Linked DNA regions of Mus musculus. The protein of the gene in region 1 purifies or fractionates together with the protein of each later gene. This does not show direct contact. Links are inferred from orthologs where the notes say so. Each region holds a gene or a part of one and is shown on either strand. Other genes may lie near its edges.

What was found.
Region 2: the proteins of Map4k1 (region 1) and Nudc purify together in Homo sapiens (affinity purification with mass spectrometry; 3 studies listed by BioGRID and IntAct, with this or other methods). This does not show direct contact. The link is inferred for Mus musculus from reciprocal best matches to the Homo sapiens genes MAP4K1 and NUDC.

Annotation. Positions count from the first base shown.
Region 1 is NC_000073.6:28,981,159-28,985,757, reverse strand, and holds the start of Map4k1 (mitogen-activated protein kinase kinase kinase kinase 1), read right to left. Parts: upstream 2,905-4,599; 5' UTR 2,803-2,904; coding exon 2,704-2,802; intron 2,544-2,703; coding exon 2,486-2,543; intron 2,369-2,485; coding exon 2,278-2,368; intron 1,676-2,277; coding exon 1,611-1,675; intron 1-1,610. Other genes in the region: Eif3k (eukaryotic translation initiation factor 3 subunit K), read left to right, coding at 4,026-4,084. UniProt on the Homo sapiens protein: Serine/threonine-protein kinase, which plays a role in the response to environmental stress. Appears to act upstream of the JUN N-terminal pathway.
Region 2 is NC_000070.6:133,543,222-133,547,655, forward strand, and holds the start of Nudc (nuclear migration protein nudC), read right to left. Parts: upstream 2,807-4,434; 5' UTR 2,665-2,806; coding exon 2,584-2,664; intron 1-2,583. UniProt on the Homo sapiens protein: Plays a role in neurogenesis and neuronal migration. Necessary for correct formation of mitotic spindles and chromosome separation during mitosis. Necessary for cytokinesis and cell proliferation.

The DNA.
Region 1 (4,599 bases):
CTACCATAAGAAGCCAAAGCGGGGGTGTGATGGGTCCCGCTCTGCAGGAGAAAAGGAGCAAGGGCAGCTTCTCATGGAGGACGATGGGAGACGAGGGAGTCTCTGCATGGGGTGATGTGAGGGCAGGCAAGATGAGCAATGGCGAAGATACAGAGACAGGCAGCAGCAGACAGACAGACCCAGTGTCAGGCAGAGAAAGAGATGAGCAGAGACCCAATGCAGGGAGATAGACGTATTTTAGAAGACAAGCGGGGTTAGTGAAGAGACAAGAGAAAGATAGGACAGAGGGTGTCGGGCAGAGACCAGGGCTTACACAATGACTGGGTGAGTCACTTCCTGCCTATCGGCCTCAGTTTCCCGTTCTGGGGGAGGTTCTGTGTTGCCCGGATGGAAGCTGGAACCTGGATCCATCCTACCAGGCAGGCATTCTACCACTGAGCTAAAGGGAGACCTTTTCAGACAATTTGAAATCGTGGGTAGGGGGAGTTAGAGAGAGTAAGACAGGTGAACACCACAACTGTAGAAAAGGCTGAGGTGTAGGGCCTGGTGGCAGAAGACGGGCCGTTCAGTAGCTAGAAGACTAGCTACTGAAAAGGCTAAGGCAGAGAGACTGCAAGTTCAAGGCCGGCCTGCCACAAAATAATAAGTAAAAAGAGGGCTGGGGAGCATCTACGAGAAATTGAAGGGATGTGTTAAGAATACATTGTCAGAGCTGGGCGTGGTGGCGCACACCTTTAATCCCAGCACTTGGAAGGCAGAGGCAGGCAGATTTCTGAGTTCGAAGCCAGCCTGGTCTACAAAGTGAGTTCCCAGGACAGCCAGGGCTATACAGAGAAACCCTGTCTCAAAAAAAAAAAAAAAAAAAAAACATTGTCTACCTATAATTCTTAAAGAATAGATAAATTAATTTAAATTAAACCCTCAAAGAATAAAGTCATTAATTAAAAAAAAAAGAGGTAGGTGTTAGGGATACAGCTCAGAGTGGTTGCCTAGCAAACGTAAGACTCTAGGTTCAAAACTCACTATAGCAAAAAAAAAAAAAAAAAAAAAAAAAAAAAAAAAAAAAAAAGTGTGTGTGTGTGTGTGAAAGAGAGAGAGAGAGACTCAGAAGGGATGACAGGCCTATGGGACTCCTACCCTCAAATTTCCCTGAAAGGTGGACTGCAGGCTAGACCCAGAAATTTACTGACTGCCTACCTGAAAATCTGAACAACTAATCTGAGTTGGAGAATGCAGAAATAGGCCAGGCATGGTAGCAAATGCCTTGAATATCAACACCAGGGGTGATAGTGAGAAGCCCATCTCAAAAAAGAAGAAAAAAAGAAAATGCAAAACTGCCCCAACCCAGGAATAATTTTTGGCAAGAAAATATAGACATCCAGACAAAGATAGAGACATGGAAGTGAAGGGGATTATTGCCCAGGAAAAGACAGGCAAGACCCACAGGTGCTGGAGGGCAGGGCCATCATGGGATCCCCAGCAACAGCCAAGTGCACGGGCTGATGGTATGGTGTAGACTGGGAAGTCAGCTTCCAGGATACAAGCACAGAGAGAGACAGGAGAGGTGGACTGGTGGTGGAAGGGGGCCTCTGTCCCCTTGTCCTTCTAACCTTGGTAGATGTCCTGGAGAGAACCAGCTCCACAGAATTCCATGCAGATCCACAGCTTCTGCAGCCTATAGGGCGTCAAGAGAGCAGGGATTACAATGGTAGTGAGACCTCCCGGGGCTATCTCACTCCCCCGCCCACCACACAGTGTCCTGTTCCCATGACAGCAGAGGCTGAGGATAGCCAGGAAGTGTGTATTCCAGAGCAATTTTTAGGTCTTTGGGTTCCAACCCAAGAGCACCCCACTGCCACCCCAAGGTAATTTAGGGGACAGGGCAGAGAACCCATGGCGAAGCAGACAAGACAAAGAATCCCGGGTTTGAGGAAAAGATGCCATTATTGAGGCAGCTGAGATATTATCTTGGGAGCCAAGAAATTTGAGAGCTCAAATTAAAGAAGCAGAATAAAAATGGGTGATGCAGGGAGCAGACTAGTGAGAGATTTGATTACAACAACGAGGAGGGTTCTAGATTAGCCCTTAAAAATTAGCAGGCACTCAGTAAGAAAGGCAGAATTTCAGATTGGGAATCAGACTGGGATGCCCCAATTAAAAGTGAAAGTCCTCAGGTTGGAAGTCAAGTTAGGGTATCTGGGTCACAAATGGTAGTTTAGGAGTGGAGACCTGGTCAGAGTTAAGGGGCTGGGGTTGGGGGATGGGCTAAGACATCACCAGAGGTAACTGCCATGGTAAGCCACGATGTTGGCGTGCCGGCAAGTTTTCAGCATGAGAATCTCCTTCTGAAGGGTGGCGACGTCATCATCTGTGGGGAGGGGCCGGAGAGCGAAGGTGGGCTACAAGCGGGGGCTTACAGAAATGTCCCTGTATCCCAGGAAGGAAAGGGCGGGGATGGGGAAGAAGTTTCTGGGGGTGCTCTCACCAGGCTCCATCTTCACCATCTTCAAAGCCACCAGGTCCTTAGACACCTTGTCGCGAGCCTTGTAAAGGGGAAGTTGGTCATCAGGCAGACTCCATAGCTTGCCATCCTCAGCATCTCTGAACCAAGGCCAAGGCCTGGCATTCTCTTACACTCCTGCTTGCCAGCCTCTCCCCAACTATCCCAGGGTTGTGGTGGAGGAGACAGAAGGGCTTTCTCACCTTGAATACTTCTCCATAAGTTCCACCACCCAGTCGTTGCAGTAGATCATAGTGTTCTCGAGGGTCCTTATTAAAAATGTCGGGGTCCACAAGGGCCATTCCTGGAGGCCGGGGCTGGGCCAGTGCCCAGGGGGCCAACAGGGCCTCAGGGTTCAAGCTTTGGTATTACCTTCTGTCTCCACACAAGTCCTGGGCCCGCCTTGACTCTGTGGGCTGTGGCCTTCCCCCTCCCCACTCTCGCTTCCTGCCCCAGCTGCAGGGCTGTGCAGAGGGCTGCACAGAGGGCTCCACCCCCGTCCCCTGGGTTCTGAGAGTTTGATCGCCTTGGGACCCATGGGACTCCCCTTTACCCACTGAAGGACACTATGTAAATAAGATGCAAAAGTTCTTAAATGCAACCTGGGGCTGACCTAGCACCCTCTCCCCAACACTCTATTTTGGGAGGAGTCATAGGTTACGGTTGAACCTCTGCTGGGTTCTTGAAGATCTGGAATCAAGCCAGAGGTTGCAGGTCTGCACAAAGCTGGCTAGGTTTCACAGAAGACCTGTTTACTCGTGACACATGCATGTGACTTAAGTGACAGCTGAGCTCAGGGCACCTGCCCGCATGGCACATGTCTGTGCAACGCTTCAAACGTGTAGGGAATCTGTGGCAGACGTGGAACACTTGTTAGTAGCCCCTACGCAGAGCCGATGGAGACTACAGGTGTCTTTTGCCTTCCCGGCCTCCTAACAGCACTGTAGCAGTACGGAACCGAGTGGGGACCAGCGAGGAAGTGAAGATACATACAAGATGCTGTCTCAGGCACCCAAGTCGGAGACAAGAAGGGCTTCAGAGAGCATCTCCCACCCGACTAAACTCAAAGAAAAGGAAACAGCAACCCTTCACGGGGCTAAACGCTTAAGGCTACGCATGCGTAGAGAAAATAAAGTCTCCTTTCCCCGTACAACTCCAGCGCACGCGCGTCAGAAGCTTAAGTACTAAGTTTGCGCGGCCCGGGAAAAGCTTAGCCCGCCTCCTGGCGCCTGCGTAGTAAGGCAGACTAAACCTTTTCTCACGCTATTGGTCTCTTTTAAGTGAGCTCATTGCGCATGCGCAAGTTACAACTGCTGGAAGGAAATCACGTGGTAGACAAAAAAAAAAAAAAAAAAAAACAACCGGCGCTGGTGCTGAAAGCGCCTTTCCCTTTGCCTTCCTTGTAGGAGCTGGAGGGAGGGTGTGACGCAGGTTCCGCTTCCTACACCTCTCTTCCGGTCCTCTAGTGCTAAGCACCGTGCCTGGTGTTCGACTCCAGCTGAGGCTGCCGAAGGCAACAGTGATCATGGCGATGTTTGAGCAGATGAGAGCGAACGTGGGCAAGTTGCTCAAGGGTATCGACAGGTCTGAATTCCGCTGAAGGGCGCTCTCTGGCCAAGCGGGGTGGAGAAGACGGGGAGCCAGCCAGGGGTGGCCAGGGCTCCACGCTCCTCCAGAGATGGAGTTTCTCCAAGTTTCTCTCCGTCCCTCAACTTTACCTTTTCTGCTGCCACAGACTCCCGGTGTCTTTTAGTCTCTTCCTTCTCTGTCCTTGTGGACCATCCTACATAGTGTTTTCTGATGTCTATTTGGCCAGTGGGGACCGGAGGTGATGGAAACGGGAACCGGTCCTGCGTTCCTGGACTTAGGTTCCCATTCCATCCTGGCGACAACCCCATTCAGCAGATAGTGACAATAAGGAGCGATCAGGGCCTGGTCAGGTCAAGCCACGTATTGAGATAGGCAGGAGAGGATGGAACTGGGTCAGAACGGGATCGAAGAGAAGGTGTTCAGGAAAACATACGGGCTGCAGAGACTGACTGAGGTTGGAGGCATCCTAGACATGACCAGGGGCTCAAGTAGGGCTAGCTAGAGGCCCA
Region 2 (4,434 bases), on another chromosome or scaffold:
CTCGAACTCAGAAATCCACCTGCCTCTGCCTCCTGAGTGCTGGGATTAAAAAAAAAAACAAGCAAGCAAAAAATACAACCAACAACCAAAACCACAAGACCTGTGAAAAGCAACTTAAGAGGGGAAAGGGTTTATTTTGACCTATAGTTTCAGGCTTGGCCCATCACAGTGGGAAAGACAAGGAGCAAAAGCGTAGGGAGCCGGGCGGTGGTGGCACACGCCTTTAATCCCAGCACTCAGGAGGCAGAGGAGGCGGATTTCTGAGTTCGAGGCCAGCCTGGTCTACAGAGTGAGTTCCAGGACAGCCAGGGCTATACAAAAAAACCAAGTCTCGAAAAACAACAAAAAAAAAAAAAGCAAAGCTTAGGGAGATGGTCACGTCACATCCACAGCAAGCAGGGAGCACTGAAAGAGTGTCTTGGCTCAAGTGTTTTATGACAGGCCCATGCTCAGTCGACTCCTGGGGAGAAGCCCAAGCTGGCGCAGGCCCCCAGTTAGCACGACGACTCTCACTTGCCCCAGCCCCAGCGAGAGGTTCTGAATCTGAGACAGCCATCCCTACCTCTAGACACTTTGAGTTCACAGAAACAAAGTGGATTCACTCCCAAACACTTTCACATTGTGTCAGTTTAGGAACACGCAGACAAGGTTCACATTTGCAGATTAGACAAGACTCCCCCGCTTCAAGGGTTTAGAAGCCCTCAGTTAACACAGGCACCTAGAGAAAAAGACTTCGAAGGTGTGGCAACCAGTTTTATGTGCCTTGACACAAGTTAAAGTCATCAGAGAGGAGGGAACTCCAATTAAGAAACTGCCTCCATTGGATCAGGCTGCGGGCAAGCCTCTAGAGCAGCTTCTTAAGGAGAGATGGATGGAACCCAGCCTATTGGGGGCGGTACCATCCCTGGGCTGATGGTCCTGGGTTCTAGAAAGGCGGAGCAAGCCAGTAAGCAATGCCCCTCTATGGCCTTTGCATCCGCTCCTGCCTCCAGCTCTGGCCCCCCACTACTTTTGATGATGAGCTGTTCTGTGAACCTGTGAGTAAGATAAAGCCTTTCCTCTCATCAAGCTGCTCTTCCTGCTTCATCACAGCAGTGGTCACTCTGACCAAGACAGAATGGAAAGCCATCCCCAGTGACGGGTGGCAGGAGCCCGTCTCCTCGGGGACTTGGGGGCCTGGCTTTGGGTAAACTTGTCACTCTCTGACCCTCAGGTGCTTACAGAATGTAATATCTGGGTTTTCTACCTCTACCAGCTCATCTGCTACACACCCACTGTGTGAACTAGGTCTGGCCATTTAACATCACCTATGGGTTATTTGGGGGTTATTATATTTGTGGGTCTTACTATATATCCCTGATTGGCTTAGAAGTTGCTATACAGACCAGGCTAACCTCTAACTTGTAGCAATTTTCCTGCCTCTTCCTCCCCAGTGCTAGGACTCCAGTCACGCACCATCTTATCCTGACCAGCAAGATGAATCACTGGGTAAAATTGACTGCCTCAAAATCCTAGCAACTCAACCCTAAAAACCCAGATACTGGTGGCAGGAATAAACTGGCCCCTTAAAACTGTCCTGTCACAAACACTACTACTACTACTAATAATAATAATAATAATAATAATAATAATAAATTTCTTTGGTTTTGTTTTTTTTCTGAGACAAGGCTTCTCCGTGTAGCCCAAGCTGTACTAGAACCCATTCTGTAGACTAGGCTGGCCTCAAATTCAAAGATCCACCTGCCTCTGGCTCCTGAGTGCTGGGATTAAAGCAACACCCGGCTCCAAATAATTTTTTAAAGCAAGAAACCCTCAACAAATTCCCCAAATGCAAAGCCTAGTCTCTTCCGTGTCTGCATCCCCAGGACCCAGTCTTATTATGTGTCTGGTACACGACAATGACAAGTACTTAGGTGCTAGGCAGGGTGGCCCATATCCAAGTTCCCGCACTCTGAAGACAGAGGAAGAATAACCCTGATTTGGAAGTCACTTGGTCTATATAGCAAGTTCTGCGTAAGCCAGGGATATAGAGCAAGACCCTGACTCAAGAAAAAAAAACAACAGGAACTGATATTCCTAAGCTTCACCTCACAGACGAGGTAACTGAGGATAAACCAGGAGGGAGCTTAACCTACAGGTCTCCGGCTCACTTCCTCAGTCAGTATACTTTCAAGTATAAAGAGACCACGTGCTAACCGCCCCCCCGGGCTCTCACTACCCTACACAGTATTGATAGGCAGGCTCCACTTTGGGTAAGATGCAGATCATATCGAGAAGAGTCGGCCCAGAGATGCTCTAAAGAGTAACCACCATTAGGGATGCTCTACACAGTAACCATTAAAATGAAAGCAGAAACACCCGTGGAGCGCAGAGTGGGTGCGGAAGCTCTGGGGTCACTCTGGGACAACGAAAACTGCTCTTGGGGGCTAAGTGCAGGGCGCTGACGGCGTTGGAGCGAGACTTCACTCGCGGGCTGGGCAGACCGGAAGCTGGGACGCGGGGACCCGGGGACCCGCGCGGCCGGGGTGGGGGAGGTCTCGGCCGACCGCGGAGAAGGGCTGCGGCGCGGGCCACGTCGTTTACCTCCTGCACGCCGCCCTCGTGCTGCTGCGCCATGGCCAGCAGCATGCCGTCGAAGCGCTCCTCCTCCTGCTCCCCTCCCATCGTGCTGCGCCCCGAGCTCCGCACTCGCGTTCTGCGATGCCCGCGCTCCCCACGGTTCGCGCGGGCCCAACGGCTCCCCTCGCTAGCCTTCCGCAGCGGAGCCGGAAACACGCAGGAGCCGCCCGGCCGTGCGGGTTCGCCCTTCCCGGCTTTCTTCCCGCCTCCCCGCCCATCGGTGCCCATTGAGCTCCCGGAACACAACCCGCTTCTCTGGCCATTGGCTAAGCCGAGGAGCAAATCAACAGTCGCGGTCCCAAGGCAGTGGGCGGGGCTCGCTGCCGCAGAGTTTGGCTTGAGTTGCTATGGTCACCAGATACCTGGGAGCTTTCTAGAAAGCTCTGAGCTCACATCTTAATAGGGCTGGAAGTTTTGATCAAGTGATACTGTTAGCCTTCTCCTCCTACAAGCCGCAGTTAAGACTCAGGAAGAAAGCACTCACCAAAGGGTCAACCTACTAGACGTTTAAGAAAAGAGCACAAAACTGTAGTTTGAGTAGAACAGTTTTACAAACTGTTTGCACTAGGATTAATGCTCTTTCATTACTGTCTGAAAATCCTTAGTTTTTCTGTTTTTTTGTTTGTTTGTTTTGTCGTTGCTGTTGACGGCAGAGGTGATGGCTTGTTTTGTTTTGTTGAGACATGCCCCGTGTATCCAAGGCAAAGACAAACTTGTGTTCCTGGCCTGCCTGCCTTCACTTCCAAGCACTGAGATTGCATGCAGGCTTGTATAGCCTGAAGATTCCCCACCGCCGGCGCGTACATTTATTTATTACTTTGTAAACCTGAGAGTGCTATACTGTTACAAGATTATTACATTAACTTTTCCAGAGAGCCTGGCTATCTCACACCTTGGAATAGGAACTCTTAAGGGTTGAACGTCACTCCCAAAGAGCAGGTTCCTTCTATCAGATTGAGGTCTCTGAGAGCTGGTCTGGGTCATCTCCATGTTAGAAGCTGTGCTGATTAATTTTATATCAACTTGACATTAGAGTCAGCAGAGAGGAGGGTGCCACAATTGAGAAAATGCATCCTTAAGATCCTTCTGTAGGCAAACCTGTAGGGTGTTTTCTTAATTAGTGATTGATGGAGAAGGTCAGCCCACAGTGGGTGGGGCTATCTGTGGGCTAGTGGTCTTGAGTTCTATAAGGAAGCAACACCTTCTATGATCTCTGCATCAGCTCCTGCCTCCAGGTTCCTACCCTGTTTGAGTTTCTATTCTTACTTTCTTCAAAGATGGACTAATATGTGGAAATGTAAGCCAAATAAACCTTTTTCTCCCCAATCTGTTTTTGGTCATAGTATTTCATCACAGCAAAAGAAACCCTAGTACAAGCCAGGCAGTGGTGGCAGGTGCCTTTAATCCCAGCACTTGGGAGGCAGAGACAGGTGGATTTCTGAGTTCGAGGCCAGCCTGGTCTACAGAGTGAGTTCCAGGACAGCCAGGGCTATACAGAGAAACCCTGTCTCAAAAAAAAAGAAAAGAAAAAAGAAAAGAAGGAGGAGGAGAAGAAAAAGAAAAGAAAAGAAAAAAGAAGAGAAGAGAAGAGAAGAGAGAGAAGAGAAGAGAAGAGAAGAGAAGAGAAGAGAAGAGAAGAGAAGAGAAGAGAAGAGAAGAGAAGAGAAGAGAAGAGAAGAGAAGAGAAGAGAAGAGAAGAGAAGAGAAGAGAAGAGAAGAGAAGAGAAGAGAAGAGAAGAGAAGAGAAGAGAAGAGAAGAGAAACCCTAATACAGAAGGCCTGGACTTCTCTGAGCAAATGGCTTGCTTTCAGACT